Oryctolagus cuniculus: one gene and its partners. The main gene of each other region encodes a partner of the protein of the gene in region 3 in a complex. Links are inferred from orthologs where the notes say so. Each region holds a gene or a part of one and is shown on either strand. Other genes may lie near its edges.

Evidence for each region.
Region 1: SCAP (region 3) and RNF139 share a complex: the UniProt entries of both Homo sapiens proteins name them as parts of the SCAP-SREBP complex. The link is inferred for Oryctolagus cuniculus from reciprocal best matches to the Homo sapiens genes SCAP and RNF139.
Region 2: the proteins of SCAP (region 3) and INSIG2 are in contact, whole or in part, in a cryo-EM structure (PDB 7ETW), measured with the Homo sapiens proteins. The link is inferred for Oryctolagus cuniculus from reciprocal best matches to the Homo sapiens genes SCAP and INSIG2. Residues at the interface, in NP_036367.2 of Homo sapiens: Pro200, Ser206, Val282, Ala283, Glu284, Ile286, Pro287, Thr290, Ile294, Ala297, Tyr298, Phe301, Lys305, Tyr351, Val354, Val355, Glu359, Thr409, Leu410, Val411, Ser638, Tyr639; in NP_001308258.1 of Homo sapiens: Phe41, Val45, Leu48, Leu49, Ile51, Val55, Leu57, Phe58, Pro59, Val62, Ser65, Ile66, Glu104, Trp105, Ser106, Met109, Arg110, Val112, Ala113, Val114, Val116, Gly117, His120, Gln132.

What each region holds. Positions count from the first base shown.
Region 1 is NC_091437.1:150,138,212-150,144,597, reverse strand, and holds the start of RNF139 (E3 ubiquitin-protein ligase RNF139), read right to left. Parts: upstream 3,622-6,386; 5' UTR 3,311-3,621; coding exon 3,130-3,310; intron 1-3,129. UniProt on the Homo sapiens protein: E3-ubiquitin ligase; acts as a negative regulator of cell proliferation through mechanisms involving G2/M arrest and cell death.
Region 2 is NC_091434.1:115,975,755-115,982,003, reverse strand, and holds the start of INSIG2 (insulin-induced gene 2 protein), read right to left. Parts: upstream 3,489-6,249; 5' UTR 3,340-3,488; intron 3,266-3,339; exon of another isoform or gene 2,754-3,265; intron 1-2,753. UniProt on the Homo sapiens protein: Oxysterol-binding protein that mediates feedback control of cholesterol synthesis by controlling both endoplasmic reticulum to Golgi transport of SCAP and degradation of HMGCR.
Region 3 is NC_091441.1:101,360,048-101,366,455, reverse strand, and holds the start of SCAP (sterol regulatory element-binding protein cleavage-activating protein), read right to left. Parts: upstream 4,191-6,408; 5' UTR 4,084-4,190; exon of another isoform or gene 3,932-4,083; intron 3,739-3,931; exon of another isoform or gene 3,621-3,738; intron 1-3,620. UniProt on the Homo sapiens protein: Escort protein required for cholesterol as well as lipid homeostasis.

The DNA of each region.
Region 1 (6,386 bases), on a different chromosome or scaffold from region 3:
AGGGACCAAGTACTTGAGCCATTATCTGCTGCCTCCCAGGAGTCATTAGCAGGAACTAGACTGGAACTAGAATAGCTGGGACTCGAACCAGCACTCCAATATGGGCTATGGCCATCCCAAGGGGTGCCTTAACCTGCTACGCCACAAGGCCCAATCCAGTGCCAAACCATTTTACATGGAAATTATGTAGTCTACCAAAATTGTATAAATTTACCTATTTCAAATAGGTAAAATGCCAAACTTCTTCCAAATCAAACAATGAATTCTTCACCAATCTGATAAGTAAAATTTTGTTTTGACTGCATTTCTTTAATTACAAATGAAGCTAAGTACTTTTTCTCTTGTTTATTGACTTCTGCATTTTGTTTATTGTGAATTGCCAGGCCTATTTTTCTATGGAAGTATAAGGTTTTCCTATTGAATAAGAAATCACATATGATACAATGATTTCCCCCTTGACTTGTCTTTTCTAAGGATTTTTTAAATTATGCCATAAAAATGTTTTCATTTTTATGTACTCAAATTTATCAGATTTTCCCTTGTAATTTCTGCATCTTATTTTATGTCTTAGAAAGTCCTTTCCCACCTAGATGAATTATCACCATATGAGTAATACTATTAAAGCAAACGCCTATGCTTGCACTTTCTGGATTTAAAATTGCTGATTCAGCATTTTGCTGCTTTGGGTTGAGTTTCATTTAGCATTTAACAACTCCTTAGAAACAACTTTATGTTCTAATCTGTATCTTGTACAATTCTGTTTGAATCTCCAAAATGAAATGCTTTATTTTCTGACCTACTTAAATCTCAAATTAGTTTGATGGCAAATGAGAATACAATTGTAGCACCTCTTTGTAGTCAGGGGAAATAAATACTTTAAATACTATAAATAAAATTGGTAATACTTTTATACAGATAGATTTCCATTTTTACAAATTAACTTTAAAGAAAAGGGTGAGGTTGACACCATTGAGTATAACAGTAGTTCTAGGAAGTCTCCAACTACAAAAACATTAACCTGGCAGAAAATTAATTTCAATATCTATTGGGACCTTTTGCATATGAAACTATCACTTTTAATAACATATTCATTTTAGGGTGAATTATTTTATTACTAACACGAGTTTTTTTATTTTTATTCTCAAATATTTGAAAAGTTAGCATAATTACACTGGTACAGTATAAGTAACATATTTGGAAACTTTCATATTTTTAAAAAAATCAAACCTAAACAATATTCTAGAATCAAAATTTTGAAATAAACAGCATCAAAATCTTGGAGATGCTATCATAAGAACATGTAGTCTGAAGTGACTCGTTAAAATATTTTTAAAAAGCTAACAAGTTTATTAAGAGCTAACACATATCCAAAAGTGCTCTTTTAAGAGATTACATTTCTACTCATTTATTGTCCAAACATCCTGTGAGATGGTAAAGAAAACGAAGTCACAGAGCATGTAAGTCACTCCCCTTAAGTCCCGTTCTTTAAAATTGTCAAATAAACGTCCGTGACTTATTACAAAAAACAAGAAGCATGGAGAATACAAGGAGACACCAGACTGCTTTGTTCAGTGTCGTTAAACTACACATGGCTTAACTGGGGAAAATACTCCCTGTCCTGGAAGGGAAAAGCTCAACAGGGCACTGCACTGAAGACCAGGTCCCCAAGGGATTCTGCGACTGCAGACTGCAATCAGTATGCCCTCAGAACACTCAAGGAGTGGCTGTGCTGTTTCTGGAATGAATATGCAGAATCCTCCTAGCAGTCCCATCCTGGCCACGAATCCCGGTGATGAGCACACACTCGCAGGGTTAAGTAAGAGCAGCGGGAACTCGGTAGCGACGGGTTGCTGAGAAGTCTGGTGCTACAGAACGCCAAGTTCACGTCTCTCAGTTTTGAAACCCAGCACGTGATCTTTACTACACCATCATGTACCTGGATCACAGCGCCCGGAGGAGGGAGCTGATCCACAACTGATGTCCACAGGGTTTTGAAGTCCAGGCTGACAATTACCTACCCACGGGGTATCAGAACACTGACCCCTGGGACGCTCAGGGTCCCGATCCGTAAAGTGAGGAGAACACCGCTCACCTCCAAGGAATGCCTGAAGGTTAGGTCAGACAGCACCAGCGCCAGTGCTGTGCGACAGCAGACAACTGTGGGACAGTCGCTTACTGCTGAGAATAAAATTCAGCTTTTATTGCCACTCCTTCGCCTTAGGAATACAGCAACAGATGGCTGCTAATTCCGAAAAGCTTGCTAAGGACCCCACCACCAGCCAGCGCTCATTCACACTTCAAAAGCTCCAGCCTACCAGCCTGATCGCAACAGTGACCTCATCGACAACATTTGCCAGTTTGCAATGCCTTAGAAAACATTCTTGTACACATCAATGCCTCTCACGCCGGGCGTGCAAGTGAAGATGGAGACCTTTCCAATACTCCATCCATATGCAACAAAGACAACGATCTCCCGGGTGGAATTCTGCAAGTGTTTCCTACTTGCCAGCCAACACTGTAACATCACGTCGAACGCCTTTTCGTTTATTCACGGAAAACGGAAGATCTCGTTATTAGTATCGCCTTTCTCGGGAGGATTTTTGGTAACGGTTCCAAGGTCTGACATTCAGAGCCTCGGCTGGGATGTCACCACTGACCGCAGACTCTCCGCGATCCTGTGGACCCGCGGGTGCGGCACAAGGGACCGCACGGGCACTCTGAATTTTTCGGGGGTGGGGGGGGGACGGAGGTCCACGCCTTGGCGCAAGTCCAAGGTCACGCACGGCGCGACAGGGACAAGCAGAGCGGCTTTCCCAAGGCTGCCGCACAGGACACGGTCGGTCAGCACTCAATCCCCAGGAGAAACTGCAGGTTCACACACCCCTGGCTCTCCCGCCGCCCACACGCAGGCTGGCGGCGAGGACCGCGCCGCTGTCACCTCCGAGACGAGTACCACCTCCTCCACGTCCCACCCTGCAAAGACGGCCCCGTGGGGAATCGAACCGTGGTCCCCAAAGACACACATTCCCACACACACGCGGAGCACGGGCTGCGCGCGGCTGCCCCGCGCCCCGGGGCACGTCGCGGGCCGCACAGCAGTTCAGGGCGCAGGCACCCCGGTCCCCTTACCAAGGAGCCGGAGGAAGATCTGGAGCACGATGCACAACCCGCTTTGGCTGGAATCGTAGTAGGAGTTGAAGATGGCGTCGATGATGTAGAGGCAGGGCACCCGGAGCGCCACTTCGAGCGCCGCACAGACCTGCTGGTGGGCCATCCGCACCTGCAGCTGCGGGGGCCCCACAGCCGCCATGAGCCGCTGCCACACCGGGGCTGGGCGGGCCGGGCAGGGCCGCGCGGGGCAGGGCCCGGGACCGCGGCCGGGGGCGGGGGCTCGGCGGGTGTCTCCGCCCCGTCCGCCCTCCCCTTCTGTCTCCCTCACGGCCCGCCCCGCCGCCCGCTCGCGTCTCTCGAGCTGGAGCAGGCGGCGGAGGCGGCGGCGGCGGCGGCAGCGGCGGCGGCGGCTCCCCGGGAGGTCTCTGGGTGTCGGTGTTTCCGGCAGCCTATGGTCTGGCTCCTCCTCCCTCCACCGCCTCCCCCGCCCGGGGAGCCACCATCTTGACCCCGCCTGCCTCGGCCTCTGCCTCAGCCGCTGTTGCTAGGCCGGCAGGCTGCGCCCGCGGTCACGCGAGACCGCGAGGCCGCCGCGCCACCGCTTGCGTCATAATCCGGCGCTCGGGGCGCTCGCTGTGCCGGCGTCACCCGCGGCGCAGCAGACGGCGCAAAGCGTTGCCATGGTTTCCTGCGCCGCCCTGGCGCCACCGCGCGGTGCCTAGCGGTAGTCCTCAGCCTCGCCCTGGGGCGGCGCGGCGGCGCCTCAGCTGGCGATTCGAGCTCTGCGGGTTTTGATTATTTGCTGTTTTATTAGAGCGCAGTAAACGTCCCATAAACATAGTTCAGAGCTGCCTGGGAAGAGAAAAGCCAAAGGACGCCACCCTCCAGGCCTGGCCCCAGCAACCTCAGGGAAATTGCCGGTCAGGGCGCCCTGGGTCCTGGTCAGGCGTCGCTGCGCGCGACTTCGCAGCGGAGGCTCTACGTGGCACTGGGCTAGGTGTGGAAGGCGCGGCCAAAAACAGTCATGCCTGTCCTACCCCCTTCCCAGACGGAAAACGCTGAGCACGATGAGCGGCCACGTCGTACTACCGACCGGGGGGCCGTGGCTTGGGGGCTCGAACCCAGGCCGCTCTTTGATTTCCGTCTTCGAGGTAAGCACGCCCGGACGGTGCTTCTGCCTCCGGAAGGCAATCGAGGTCTTTATTTTTTGAGCCCCTCTTGCCTATACGTGCAATTGGTCAGATCTGGCCGTCCTTGTGTTTGCGCCCCTCCACCACCAGTTGAGACTGAAAGGTAGTCCGCGTCAGCACTGTAGCCCTATGGTTTCTTAGATGGAGGGAGCAGGAAGCCTTGGCTCCTAGCTCAGCGTGCATCCTGCAATCCAGTTTCTGCCTGGACTCCATGGGGGTGATCAGGATCCCCCAGGGGAAGGAGCGTCCGTAGTCCAAGTGTGGAGCGCCTCCAAAAACCTGTTCCTCAGGGCGCAGGTGCTCAGAGATGGGACCCGCCACCCAAAGGCCTTCCTGTGGCTCCTGTTTTAAATTTCTGTTATTCCGTTAAAACTGCCCATGTGTCTGCCTGTTGCTTGCTATGTACGGTGCACTGGGCTTACAGCTTGGCGTCAGTCTTATTTTGGCGGGTATTATCCCTGTTTACAGAGGAGGGAAATTAGGCTTTGATGAGTGACAAAATTCCAAAGGTAGTAGGTAAGTGGTGGGCCACAATTATGTCCAAAGCCACAAAGACTCAGGGGATGTCGACCCACTTCAGGCATCTCTGGTTTTCTTTTCATCCACAGCTAATTCTGCAACCAAATTGTATTCATTCGGTCTTCACCGTCTCTCGGTCTCTTTGTTTTTAAAGATTTATTTATCTGAAGGGCAGAGTGACAGAGATCCTACCCAAATGGCTGCTGAAGCATGGAGCCAAGAAATTTCACCTGGGTCTAACACGTGGGTGGCAGAGACTCAGGTATTTGAGGCATCATTTGCTGCTTCCCTGTGTATTAGCAGGACACCAGTTTGGAAATGGAGTAGCCCACACTCTGATATGGGATGCCACCGGTTCTTACCCACTGCACCACAGCACCTGCCCCATTGTCTCCTTTCCTGCACCAGTCTCCTTTCTATTACTGCCGTCACCATCCTAAATCAGCCTACTATCGCTTGCCTGGTTTATTGCAGTATCCTTGCTTACAGCTGCCACTTTTTCTAATCCTATGTTTACTACTGCCAGTTACGTAAATTTGCCCAAACTGCACATGTGGAGGAATAATCTTATGACTAAGTTTCCAGAGGAAAGCAAACTTGGTGAGATGAGAGGAATATGAAGTCTTCTATTGAGAATTTTTTTTTTTTTTTTTGACAGGCAGAGTGGACAGTGAGAGAGAGAGAGACAGAGAGAAAGGTCTTCCTTTGCCGTTGGTTCACCCTCCAATGGCCGCCGCGGCCGGCGCGCTGCGGCCGGCGCACCGCGCTGATCCGATGGCAGGAGCCAGGAGCCAGGTGCTTTTCCTGGTCTCCCATGGGGTGCAGGGCCCAAGCACCTGGGCCATCCTCCACTGCACTCCCTGGCCACAGCAGAGAGCTGGCCTGGAAGAGGGGCAACCGGGACAGAATCCGGCGCCCCAACCGGGACTAGAACCCGGTGTGCCGGCGCCGCAAGGTGGAGGATTAGCCTAGTGAGCCAAGGCGCCGGCCCTCTACTGAGATTTTTAAAGTGCAAATCAGCTGCTTCCCTTATCTTGTAATTCTACCCACTGCAATTTAAAGCAGCAAGAGAGAAGCCCTTATGGACAGAAGGGTCCACAAGGTCTAACCTGAAGTGTGGTAGAGGAGCCAGGAAGTGAGTAACATTGTATGATGATCATACAAAATAGAGAATAGTTCCTTTCCTTTCATTAAAAATTTATTTATTTTGAAAGAGAGAGAGAGAGAGCGAGCTGCTCTCAGCTGGTTCACTCCCCAGATTGCTGCAACAGTCAGCACTTGGGCCAGGCCAAAGCTAGGAACCAGGAGCTTCAGCTGGGTGTCCCGTGTGGGTGGTAGGGGCCCAGATACTTGGGCCATCTTCCCCTGCCTTTTCCAGGCCATTTGCAGGGAGCTGAATTGGAAGTGGAGCAGCTGAGACATGAACTGGCGGCTTTAACCACTACACAACAACACCAGCCCCTCCATTTTTCCTTCTTTGTAGTGAGTGTTAAATAAAAAAAAAAATTAATGAGCAAATGTTCCAGTTCTTACTTTATTAATGTTTCAACTGTTTCTAAAACTAAT
Region 2 (6,249 bases), on a different chromosome or scaffold from region 3:
ATAAATCTTTAAAATAAAATAAAATATAATAAATTGATCTTTTAAAAAGATCAAAGTATACCTGTATGTTTATTTTTTAAAGAGGGTTAATTTTTTATAATTTTTCTTATTATTTCAAAAACAGAGAGAATGAGATAGTGATCTTCCATTCACTGGTTCAATCCCCAAATGACTGTACCTCCTGGGGCTGGACTAGGCACATGCCATGAACCAGGAACTCAATGTGGGTCTTATGTGTGTGGCAGGGACCCAACTACTTGAGTCATCACCTTCTACCTCCCAGGGTCTGCATTAACAGGAAGTTGGAATCAGGAGTGGAGCTGGGACTCAAACTCAGACATTCCAGTGAGGAATGTTGTGTTCTAAGCAGTGTCTTAGGTACTACACTTAAACACACAGCCATATACCTTTAACTATTGCTCTAACAGCAATGATAAATTTGATACTCCCAATTTTAAAAAAATACATGAAAAGTATAGATTATATGACCAGTAACTTGCCAACTAGAAAAGAAGTCTCTGGTATAGATATTGTTTAAGGGCAATTTTTTAATAGATACTCAGCAACAATCCTGATAAACAGGTAGGTGCTTTTAAGCACATTTTACAAAACAAAATAGATCAATTAACTTTTCAGAATCACAAAACTGTGACCAAATAACATCAGGGCTGAGCCCAACCGTTCTGCATGTCCAGAGTTCTTCCCACTTGACCACTTTGCCTCCATTTACAAATACTACATGTCAACCACTGAAGTGCCACACAGAAACAGCTTTCAAAATCATATTGACAAACTACTACTAATACCAAAATGATGTTTTCAAAAATTTACATAGTAGATTACTGCACAGAAAGAAAAATAGTTTACATGATTTGGAGAACTCGATAATAAATCATCAATAACAGGAAAGCACTGTTCCAGGCACACGACCCCTGTCCATGGATTGATATTAAATTTATTTATTTATTTTTTTGACAGGCAGAGTGGACGGTGAGAGAGAGACAGACAGAGAGAAAGGTCTTCCTTTTGCCATTGGTTCACCCTCCAATGGCCGCTGCAGCGGTTGGCGCACCGCGCTGATCCGAAGCCAGGAGCCAGGTACTTATCCTGGTCTCCCATGGGGTGCAGGGCCCAAGCACTTGGGCCATCCTCCACTGCACTCCTGGGCCATAGCAGAGAGCTGGCCTGGAAGAGGGGCAACCGGGACAGAATCTGGCGCCCCAACCGGGACTAGAACCCGGTGTGCCAGCGCCGCTAGGCGGAGGATTAGCCTGTTAAGCCGCGGCGCCGGCCCTGATATTAGTCCTTTTAGATAAATGAAAGAGGGCTGTGATTGTGGACTTTGAGAATGGAAATCAAAGTTTATGCTGACCACTGAAACCGCTCACACACATCCAAAAAATCTCCTAGTAGCCCTGGGAGCAGGCTGGAACCCTAGTTAACAGGTTGTTAACAACTACAACACCCCCTTGACCCAAGCATCAGGATCATTCCCCCTCCAGTGATAAGGAGTCACAGAAGGACGGCTGCTGCTTCAGATTCCTGGCTTTCCAGGTGCTTAGGACAGGCAGACGACTAAATAATAAAGTTAAATTACTACCTCACATCTTTTTCAAGATATGCTCTCTCTCAAAATGACATTCTCAAAAACAAAATAAGCATTAGAAAAACACACTTAAATCAGGGAAACAGTTTACCCCTTCACACATACACACACAAACACACACACATATGAATCATATGCTAGGGACATTATAAACTTGCAGGAAGGAAAAAAAAATGTTTGCCTGGAAGCCATGTCAACTCTTTTCTCTTGACTTTTAAACCCACACACAGAAACCACTAAGCAAGTAGCATTTGAGAACCCATTATGGCTTTTCAATGTCAAACCTTAGTCCTGAAAAAAAGCTAGGCTAAGATTTGGGGAGAATTTTCTGTTGACAGTAAAAGCAAGCTGTCCTTAAATTCCTGAACTGCATTTTATCCTTTCCTCTTTAATCTCTTTCCCAAAGGTACACAATTCACAGCGTGGTCACTTTATAACCAGACACGAACTGAGAACTAGGACAAAACACACTGCGCCAAAAGGCAATACTGAGCACAAAGTCTAGAGAAAAAAATTAAATGAAGGGGGGAGGGGGACGGGAATAGTGCAGGGCAAATTTTATTCCATGCAGCCCCAATAGGTAGGGGCATCCTCTTCCACTTGCACTCCGTGGTCTGCTATCACAGCCAAAAGTTGGACAGCACCAGCTAGCCACAGCGCGGCTGCTTCATTTCTCCTGCACCAGGGCTGGAGCGCGCCTTCCCCTGCATCACCCCTGCTCCACTGCAATACTGACGCCGGCCAGTTTCGGTGCACCCGCGGTCAAGCCTCCCCGTTCCTTCTTAATGCATTTCCTCACCAATTCTACAAAACAGCCAGTGCCTCACAGCATGATTTCCTAGGCCATCTGGCTAGTACCACTCTTTAACAACTTTTTCCAACATTCACCGGGCACGCGTCGTTATCACTTTAGGACCCTTAGACCCCCGCCCCCCGTCACTCCCACGACTTTCCTCCTCCACATCGCCAGTCCCCACCGAGTGACCCTCAAACTCCGGTCACCATCACCAACCGACTTCCAGGCCCTGGCAAGAGGCCCCACTGGCTTTAATCACACACCTACCCCCGAGGTATCCAAACCAACTTGCCAACGGCCTCAGCCCCGTGTCATCTCTCCGGATGGACCTTACGCTTACTAAGTCCCTACCTTGTGTAGCCACAGCCCGCTCTCTAGCCCGAGCTCCGTCTCGCCGGCCACAGGCCACGCGAGTCCTGACAGCGTTATGCTTGACAGCTCGCCGACCTCCCCTCATCAGACCTCCAGGGTCGTCCTTCCCGGCGTCCTCCAGGCTTTTCCCCACTCATTCACTCCCGCGCCGTCCCGGGAGCCTCGGCCTCTCCTAATACCCCTCCCAGACTCCACTGTCCCATTCAGGAACTAGCCGACCTCTCGCCAGGTGAGCGGAGCCCCTCGCCCTGCAGGCCCCATCTATGGTCCTAGCCACCCGCACCTGCCGCCAGTGTTCCCAGGCTGCAAAACCACAAGTAGTTCCTCTTCCGAGGGACCACCCTCTTCCTCGGGCCGCTTCCTCTCTGCACCTCTTCACTCGCGCTCCGCCAAGAGACCCCAACTCACCCCCGCCTCCGCCATCTTCTGGGACCGGCCCCCACCCCCCGCCTCCGCCTCTTCCTCCTCGCCTACAACTCCGCCCAAGCCCCACTGCGCCTGTGCGGCTGATACGCCGCGCGCCGGTGCTCGGGGCAAAAGAGCTTCCGGTTACCGCGGGCACTACCTGGCAGGTTAGCGAATCGGGGCAACGAGGTTTCCGGTCTGCGGGAAATTGGCGTCTGGCGGTGGGCGTGGACTGCCTATGTGATGGGAGGCATCCGGATCAGCTGTTGTTGACTGACCAGGCCTTCGTTGTGACGGTTGCCCAGACCCTGTGGGCGGAGTAAGGGGGATCGTGCACAGACACACGCACACACCCCCGGAGGGGCGTGGCGCTCGGCGTGTTCCTTGTCTCCGAGCGCGGTCGCCGCCGAGGCTGGTGCGCAGGGGCCAAGTTCTTCTTGCTAAGAACGCTGTTATCTGTGCTTGTGCCCAGCTCTCCTCTGGGCCCCTTTGCCTTCCTTACCAAGTGCTAACTTATTTGGGAGAAACGTATGGTTTGCCCTCCATCCCGCAGCATCCTGTGCACTTTTCGCTCCTGATCGTTCGCCAAGGACGGCCAGGTAATGCGGTTTGGAGACCATAGTTCTCTGAAGGACGGTACTTAGAGGTTTACACCCAGGTCGAGAAAACCTTGTAACCTCTTGTCAGAAGCATTCGTTTCCCTTGGCTTGAAATGGTGCTTTTAGAACGTTGGACCAACCCTGAGAGATCTTGGGAGATTGTTGTGAATCCAGTGAGCCTATGAGTGCATATGCAAGCCGTATGGGCGCCAAGAAGTAGTTGGAGTTGTAGTATTCGTTATAAGGAATTGTCTTCCTGCTATGAAATGTAACTATATAAATCAAAGACAAAGCCCAAGTCTCTCTTGAGTATATTACACTACTGGGCTATCCCACGAATCACCTTTTGGGACGTGGCTTCACCTAAAATACATTATGATTGTGGTCAGGTTACTATGGTCTTCAGGAAGGTTTTAGGTGAAATTCAAGCCTAGAATAATTGCGTAATAGATTTTTGCAAAGAAGTGCCAGTTGGCGAAACTCATTTCCTTTATTTTGAGCTGGTAAATGATAAACTGAATTTTTATGTTTCCACTCTTTTACAGGCATGTTTGTTTCTGGAAAATGAAATAGAAATTAAATTTACAACAGAAGTTACTTGGCAAGTATTTATGTGACCCTTATTTTCTCTAGCTCTTAAATTTCACTCTTGCAGGTTTTTAAACCCTATGTGTGTGTGTGTATTTGAGCTAACTATACTGAAAAAACTAATGAATTAGGGAAAAAAAAGCAGACAGGAAAGAAACAATACCTTTAAAATGTGTGACATCAAGACTGTGTAAAACAATGTGGATCCTGTATGTTCATGCCTATTCCAATCCTACTGTTTTCAAACACTAAGGAATTGTCTTCTAGAAAATATTTATGGTGAATTTTAGCCTAAAAAGACATTTGTTTTATTTTAAAATACACATTAATTGCAAAGAGGAACAGGACTTAAAGCACAAGAACCCTGGGACACCCTTTCCTGAGGTTCTTGCACCTAATGCAGTCATCACTACCACAGTCCAAGGCAGAGTATAAAATCCTTAGGAGACATATAAAGGGCCATTGTCTTAGATGAGGTTGAGGACCATTTTCACAGAAGATATGGTCCTTCCTTGGACGTTGAGGGTAGATATATAGCTATGGTGAGGCTGTGCTTTATGGTGGGTGCTTATGGTTGGAAAAACAAAAATCGCACCATAGAGCCTGGTATGTGAAAGGGTGGGTGATGAGACATGAGATCTGAACATCAGTCTCATGAATTTAGACTAAATTATGTTGTCATGAAAACATTACAACCCTAAATTAATTGATGCCAGAACATAAATCGGGAACTTTGAGAAATCAGAGTAAGTTTGGGGTATTCTGCAGTTGGTATAATGTTGTTGGTGGAATGCTGTCGAAGGAAACCTGGATGGTATCTTGGCCCTGAGACAGCATTTCTATGGTCATGTCCAATACATTCAGCTTTTTAGGCTTACTTTTCCTCATCTGTAAGATGAGAAATTGGTCTGAATGATTTCTAAGGCCCTTTTCATAGATAGAAATATCGATGACTTGATAATTCTGTGACTTTACAGAAAAATTTCTAGCATTGCCTTACTTGTTTGACCTCCTAATTGAATACACCAAAAGGTAAAGTTCAAAAACAAAACCAAAACAGAAAACCAGCCTCTTTAGTTAGCAAATGCAAGATCCACAAAAGTTTATTTGCCTTGTTGGAGTGAGGTAATGTTCGACTATCATTAATTATTGCCTAAGACTTGATGATGACTAAGCCTTACAAGTAAGAACCTTGAACCTGGAAAACTGATCCAGCTTGAAAACATCCAAAGGTTTTCTTTTAAAAAGGTGTTATAATTTTTCTGTTAGGTAGTTAGAATCCAAATCACTAAAGAGCACCTTAGTGTTTTGGTCTTTTGTTTGTTGCAGTGTTTTGATATGGTATACAGGTTTTTTGTTTAAAGATTTATTTATTTATTTGAGAGGCAGAGTTACAGACAGAAAGAGGGAGAAACAGAGAAGTCTTCCATCCACTGTTTCATACCACAATGGCTGCAACAGCTGAAGCTAGGCTGATCCAAAGCCAGGAGTCCCAAGTGCAGGGGCCCAAGCACTTGGGCCATCTCCCACTGCTTTCTCGGGTCATTATCAGGGAGCTGGGTAAGAAATGGAGCAACCAGGATTCAAACCGGCACCCGTATGTATTGTGGGCGCCACAGGCAGAGGCTTAACCCACTACCCCACAGTGCCAGCTGTGGTATACATATTTCTGAGAGTCATGGAATTTTGCTGTTTTGAATTTACATAATGGATCATTTATTAATCCGTTCATCCCCTCAACAACTGTCACCTGAGCACCTGGTAGGTACCAGGTACTTGACACTGGACTTTGGGAAAAATGCAAAACAGACAAGGATGCTTTCTTTGTGAAGCTTACAGTCTTACTGGGGAAACACAAAAAGTGGTTGCATTAATATATAATT
Region 3 (6,408 bases):
CTCATTTTGAGATAATGTATCAACAGCTGCAGTGGAATGAACTGAAAAAAGCTAAGAGTGGTGCATAAAAATAACAAGGAATTAATGTATCAGAATTTCAATATTTAGAAGATTTGAAAATACTCTGGGAAAACCGTATATGCAACTATCACAACTACTGGATTTGTGTGAATGATTATCTGAGTCCTCTGGCCTCCAATTAACATGCTTACAACAGGAAGGGTCCAGCAAGGGACATTGTGGCACAGTGTGTTAACCTAACAGTGACAGTCTCTGCTGCTCCATTTCTTTTTTATTTTTTTATTTTTTTTTATTTTTTGACAGGCAGAGTGGACAGTGAGAGAGAGAGACAGAGAGAAAGGTCTTCCTTTGTCGTTGGTTCACCCTCCAATGGCCGCCGCGGCCGGCGCGCTGCGGCCAGCGCACCACGCTGATCCGATGGCAGGAGCAGGGTACTTCCTCCTGGTCTCCCATGGGGTGCAGGGCCCAAGCACTTGGGCCATCCTCCACTGCCTTCCCGGGCCACAGCAGAGAGCTGGACTGGAAGAGGGGCAGCCGGGACAGAATCCAGCGCCCCGACCGGGACTAGAACCCGGTGTGCCGGCGCCACAGGCGGAGGATTAGCCTAGTGAGCCGCGGCGCCGGCCTCTGCTGCTCCATTTCTGATCCAGCTCCCCACCACTGCACCTGGGAAGGCAACAGTGAGGGTCCAACTGCCTGGGCCCCTACACTTGGGTGGGCGATCTGGATAGAGTTCCAGCCTCCTGGCTTCAGCCTGGCCCAGCCCTGACTGTTGTGAGCATTTGGTTAAAGAACCAGCAGATGGAATCTCCCTCTCCCCCTAGTTTGTGGTCTCTCCCTCCCAAATAATAAATATATATATTTTTTTAAATAAAGAACTGGGGGATGATGCTGTGGGTGTAGCGAGTAAAGCTGCCACCTGCAGTGCTGGCATTCCATATGGGTCCTAGCTGTTTCACTTCTGATCCAGCTCCCCCAAGTGCTGGAAAACAGTGGAGTATGGTCTAAGTCCTGGGGCCCCTGCACCCACGCGAGAGACCTGGAAAAGCTCCTGGTTCCTGGCTTCGGATGGCCCAGCTCCCACAGCTGCAACAATTTGGGGAGTGTGAACCAGTAGATGGAAGATCTCTCTCTCTGCCTCTTCCTCTCTGTAACTCTGCCTTTCGAATAAATAAATAAATCTTTTTCAAAAAAAATAAATAAATAAAAAGGAGGTCCAAACAAAGCTTAACTTCTAAGGGTCCAGCACTGTGGCACAGTAGACTAAGTCTCTGCCTGTGGTGCCGGCATCCCATATGGGTGCCGGTTCATGTCCCAGCTGCTCCACTTCCAATCCAGCTCTCTGCTATGGCCTGGGAAAGCAGCGGAAGATGGTCTAAGTGCTTGGACCCCTGCACCCACGTGAGAGACCCAGAGGAATCTCTTGGCTCCTGGCTTTGGATCAACACAGCTGCGGCCGTTGCGGCCATTTTGGGAATAAACCAGCAGGTGGGAGACCTTTCTCTCTGTCTCTCCCTGTCTAACTCTACCTCTCAAATAAATAAAATCTTTAAAAAAAAAAAAGTTTAAATTTCTAATCTTGTCTAAGAGGCTATATAGTCTCTATAGGTTTAAATTTAAGGCTGGTGTCATATTTGACAGACTATTGATATAAGACCTTCTTTCATATTTGTGACTGCAATTTTACAAACAATTTGTAATTGGTATTAATATGAAATACCTTTCTTCCTGATTAAGTGTAATTACAAGTGCAATTACTTCTGCTGAGGAACAAACAGATACACAACACTTTGTGTATCTTATGCTTTCAGAAAATGCTAAATATCAAAGCCAATGTTCTTCAATGTTTTAATCAATTCCAACAACAAAAGTTAAAAGCACACTCACTCAGTATGTGTTTATATATAAAGTATATAGGTGTGCTGTGATAATAGAATGTACACTGTAAACTACATAATGTAAAATTTAAAAGGCTGAGATACAAATGAAGACCAGTTTTAATATCCACCACCACCCCCCCACACACACACACAGACATGCATTCCTAATGCTTGCACACCTCTGGTCTCCACTACAAAGGTCAATCCAGCAACCCCACAAGATTCTTCAGTGACCCTGACCTACTGAGTTCCACTATCTGTGACACTGGCTTCCTCCATCACCCACTGCCTTCTTCATCTGCCAGTGGAGCAATGGAGACGATTGAGCCAGCGGGTGCAAAAACCGCATAAAGGCACGGACTCTTGTCAGATCAACCTAGGTTTGCCCAGGGGCTCTGCCTCTAACTCACTGGGTGACGACCCAGGGCCAGGAAGGTAAATCTCTACATCTCCAGTATAAAACGGGTGACAGTGACATCACCTCATCTGATAGTGCAGATCAAGTGAAACACACCAATACTGGAGCACCCAGCACAGCACCTGCCAGCACAAACTTAGTAATTATGACCCAGAACGATGACTTCAGTTGGCAGAAGTCGGCCCTGAACCTTGCCTCCTTAGCCAACTCAGGAAGGTAGCTAGTTGCAAATGGAAGCAACTCAGGAGGCAGAGCCTGGCAGATCTGGTTTGAAGGCCTGATTCACATTTACAAGTAGGGCGACCCTGGGAGCCCCGTTTCTCCAGGAATCCGCTCACCCGCCAGTGGCAGTGATGACACAAACCATACAAGAGTACGTGTGCACGGAGGCCCACAGCATGGCTCTCTCGACACGCTCACGTATGACCTCAGACAAGCCAAAACTGTGCACCTCTATTTTCTAGTCATCAACCAGGAGTAAACTTTTTACCACCCTCCTGACAGCAAACTAACCTAAAGGCGGGGTGGGGGTGGGGGCTTAACCAGCGATTATAAAATACATGAGGCCTCTGGGAAGGTGCACAAGAGATTTCACACACCAGATCAATTCCTAAGCCATGAAAACCAACTCTTTCAACTTCACAGCCAAAAGAACGAAGGTGGAGATAGTCTTTAGAGACTTTCACAGCACGTTCCCAGTGGGAAGGCTGCAAATGCTTGGAACACCTAAAATCTAACCGGGATGAACACGCAGGAAGGAAGATCCAGTCTCCAGTCAGGCGTCACTCGGGAGCACGCACGGAGCAGACGCCTTCGACGCCCACCGCCCGGTAAGAGCGTCCATCACCAGCACAGCACCGGGGAGGACGCTGGACAACCAGACGCCGCAAGGGAAGGCACACACAGCTAACGCCAGAGGAAGCCTCTTCTGCGCCCCCACACAGGCCCAGGAAGGGAGTCCTTAACGGCCCGGCCCTGACGGTCACCCCCACCCGGAGGCGGAGGCGGCAGCAGCGCCAGCGCCCCCGGGGGACTCGCCGCCCCTGCAGCCCCGCCATCTGCACAACCCTCCGGGCGCAGCGCGGACACGGGCGCTACCGTCACTCTAAGCCCAGGGGCGCCCGAGGCACTAAACCCCCCTGCAAGTAAACACAAGCCGCGGCAGTGAGCAAAGTTTAGGTCCGAGCGGCGCACACAACGGAAAGCCGAGCTGCGCGGCGGTGCCGTGCCCGCATCCCCCCAGGGGCAGCGGTGCGCCTCACTCTCTCCCCGGCCCCCGGGAACGCCCAGACTGTACGCACAGCACGTTCTAGAACCGACAGCGGCCCGGGGCGGCTGGACCACGGAGCGCGACCCCCTCCTCGGCGGCGGCCCCAGGGACCCGGAGGTGGACGGGGGCGGGGGCGGGGGCGCGGCCGGGTGGGGGTGGGAACGAGCCGGCCCTGCCCGGCCCCTCGCGGGACTGCGGGCTCCCAGGCCCGCCCGCACCACTGCTGGACAGCGCCCACGCCCGCGCGCCCCGCACGCCGGCTGCCGCCACCCGGAACTCCCGGGTCCGCGCGGCTGGAGGCCCGAGCCGGGGCCCGCGTCGCGAGGACGCGCGCGGCGGTACCTGTGGCGGCGGCGGCTCCTGGTCGGCGGCGGTGGCGACGGGGCGCGACGTGCGCTCTCCTAGCCCGCGGTCTGGTGCGTGGCGCTCCCCTGGTCTCTCCCGGCCGCCCGGCGCCCGCGCAGCCCGCTGCCCCTTCACCTCTCACCTCCTACCTTTCCCCTCTCGCCCGGCCTCTCTCCACACGCGCTTCCAGCGGCGTGCGCAGCCGCAGTCGCGCCCCGCCCGCTGCTCCCGCTCGCCCTCTGGCGGCTATGTGGGCGCACTGCGACGCCGGGGGAGGGCCCAGGGTGCGCTCCGGAGGTTGTGACAGCGCGCTCGGGAGAGCGGTCAGAACGCGCAACAAGATGCCGGCGTCCCTGAGAGGCGGCGGAGAGACGCGAGCCAGGCGGGTCGAAGGAACTGCCTCGGCTTCCTGACTGATCACCGGCACTGAAAGCGGCTCCTGAAAGACAGTTCGGAGCGAGCCGGAGGACACGGGCCCATGTTTGTTAAGCACACAATGCGAGAAGGGTCTGGGGCGACCCCGACGTGTGGTCGGGGTCCTCTCCAGGCGGGAGGATCGTGGGCGATCAGGTTTGTGCCGTTGGGTGACCGGCTTTGAACCGTTTTCTCCGTGCCACGGCCACACTGGATGTTTACTGTGTTGCGTCCCCATCCCAGGCCCCCGTTGGACCCAGCTCTCGGAGTGTAGCGGAAAGTGCCAATGCTCAGAGGCGACTTTCCCTGCCTACCATGCTACTGTCACAGTGAAATCAAACTCAAGTGGGGTCCGCTGGCCTTGGCCTAAAGCATCAGGACTGCACCCAATGTTCAGCATTGGCTATTGGCTTATGGTGGAATCTTTCATTCCATTGCCAAAAGAACTGTCTTGTTTGTACTTAACAGAAGCAACAGGTGCAGCTGTTAGCAGCACTTGGGATCTGGGCCTCCTACACAGTGCTTTCACGTACTGTGGCACAAGTCCCACCTCCAAGGCATCCTTTTTTTTCCCCGGCACATTAGCGGGGAGCTGGATGGGAAATGGAGCTGCTGGGACTCGAACTGGCACCCAAATGGGATGCTGGCGCTGGTGACAGCGGTTTGACCTGGTGAGCATCGGTCCACCCAGAGAATAAAGTGAAATCAGAGGACTCCTGACCTCTAGGCCCTCTGGACCAAAGTCTTCTCTCCAGAGAGGGTCACGAGCCTGTCTTTTAGCAAACTACAAGACAGGGAGTAGGAAGACTGTCTTGGGAACTGCTGTCACTCTCCTTCCTTACATACAGAAAAGCTGAGAGCCATACGGGGAATACCCGTGTGCCCTAGAAGCTACAGCTGCAGATGCGTTGCTTAATATCTTGCATTTATCTAAAACATCTTTGCCTTTATTCACCTGTCCATTTCTCTTTTTAAATTTATTTAAAAATCGAGAGACAGACAGACATCCATCATCTGTCTGCTGACTCACTGCTCAATGGCCAGAACAGCCGAGGCAGGCTGGGCTGAAGTCAGGAGTCAGGAACTCCCTCAGGACCTCCCAAGTATTGGAGACTTCACCTGCTGCCATCCACGGTGTGCACTGGCAGGAAGCTGACCTGGAAGCAGAGCTGGGACTCGGACCCAGGCACTTTAACATGGGGTGCAGTGTACCAAGCGCCGCGTTCACGGCAGTGCTGAATGCCCTCCCCAGTCCATCTTACTGTAGATGCATTTCCAGGTAAGCTGCAGATACCCAATGTTAGTTTTCACTAAATAGGGGCTGATGTTTGAAAGGAAAGGCTACCACCAGACACACCAAACACCAGAGTCAGGGAAAAGGTTTATTGTCCCCGTGCAGAAGAGAACAGCAGCCTGTGCTAGAACAGTTCCTACCTGGCTTTGCAGAGGGAGGGAAGTGGGAGCAGCAAATCCCAGAGTGGTAGCGGTGGAGCCGATGCTTGTGATTGGGCCGTTTGTTCACCTGACTTCTAATAAGCCAGGCTGGGCTTAGGAAGACGATACCATTTTACTAACAATGTTATGGTATAGTGGGTAAAGCCACTGCCTACGATGCTGGCATGTCCTGGCTGCTCCACTTCCAATTCAGCTCCCTGCTAATGGCCTGGGAAAAGCAGCAGAAGATGGCACAAGGTTTTGGGCCCCTGCCACCCACGTAGGAGACCCTGATGAAGCTCCTGGCTCCTAGATTCAGCCTGAAACAGTGGATGGAAGCTCTCTCTCTTTCTCCCTCTAACTCTGCCTTTCAAATAAATAAATCTTAAAAAAAAAAAATTCTCAGTACTAGACCTTCTACCCTGGGCCCATTCTCAAACCTCCTCTCATCTAATCCTCAGAACAATCATGAAAAGTAGAGGCTGAGTTTACTTTAAAAGACAGAAGCCTGGGGCTGGCGCTGTGGTGCAGTGGGTTAACTCCCTGGCCTGAAGCACCAGCATCCCATATGGGCACCGGTTCGAGACCCAGCTGCTCCACTTCCAATCCAGCTCTCTGCTATGGCC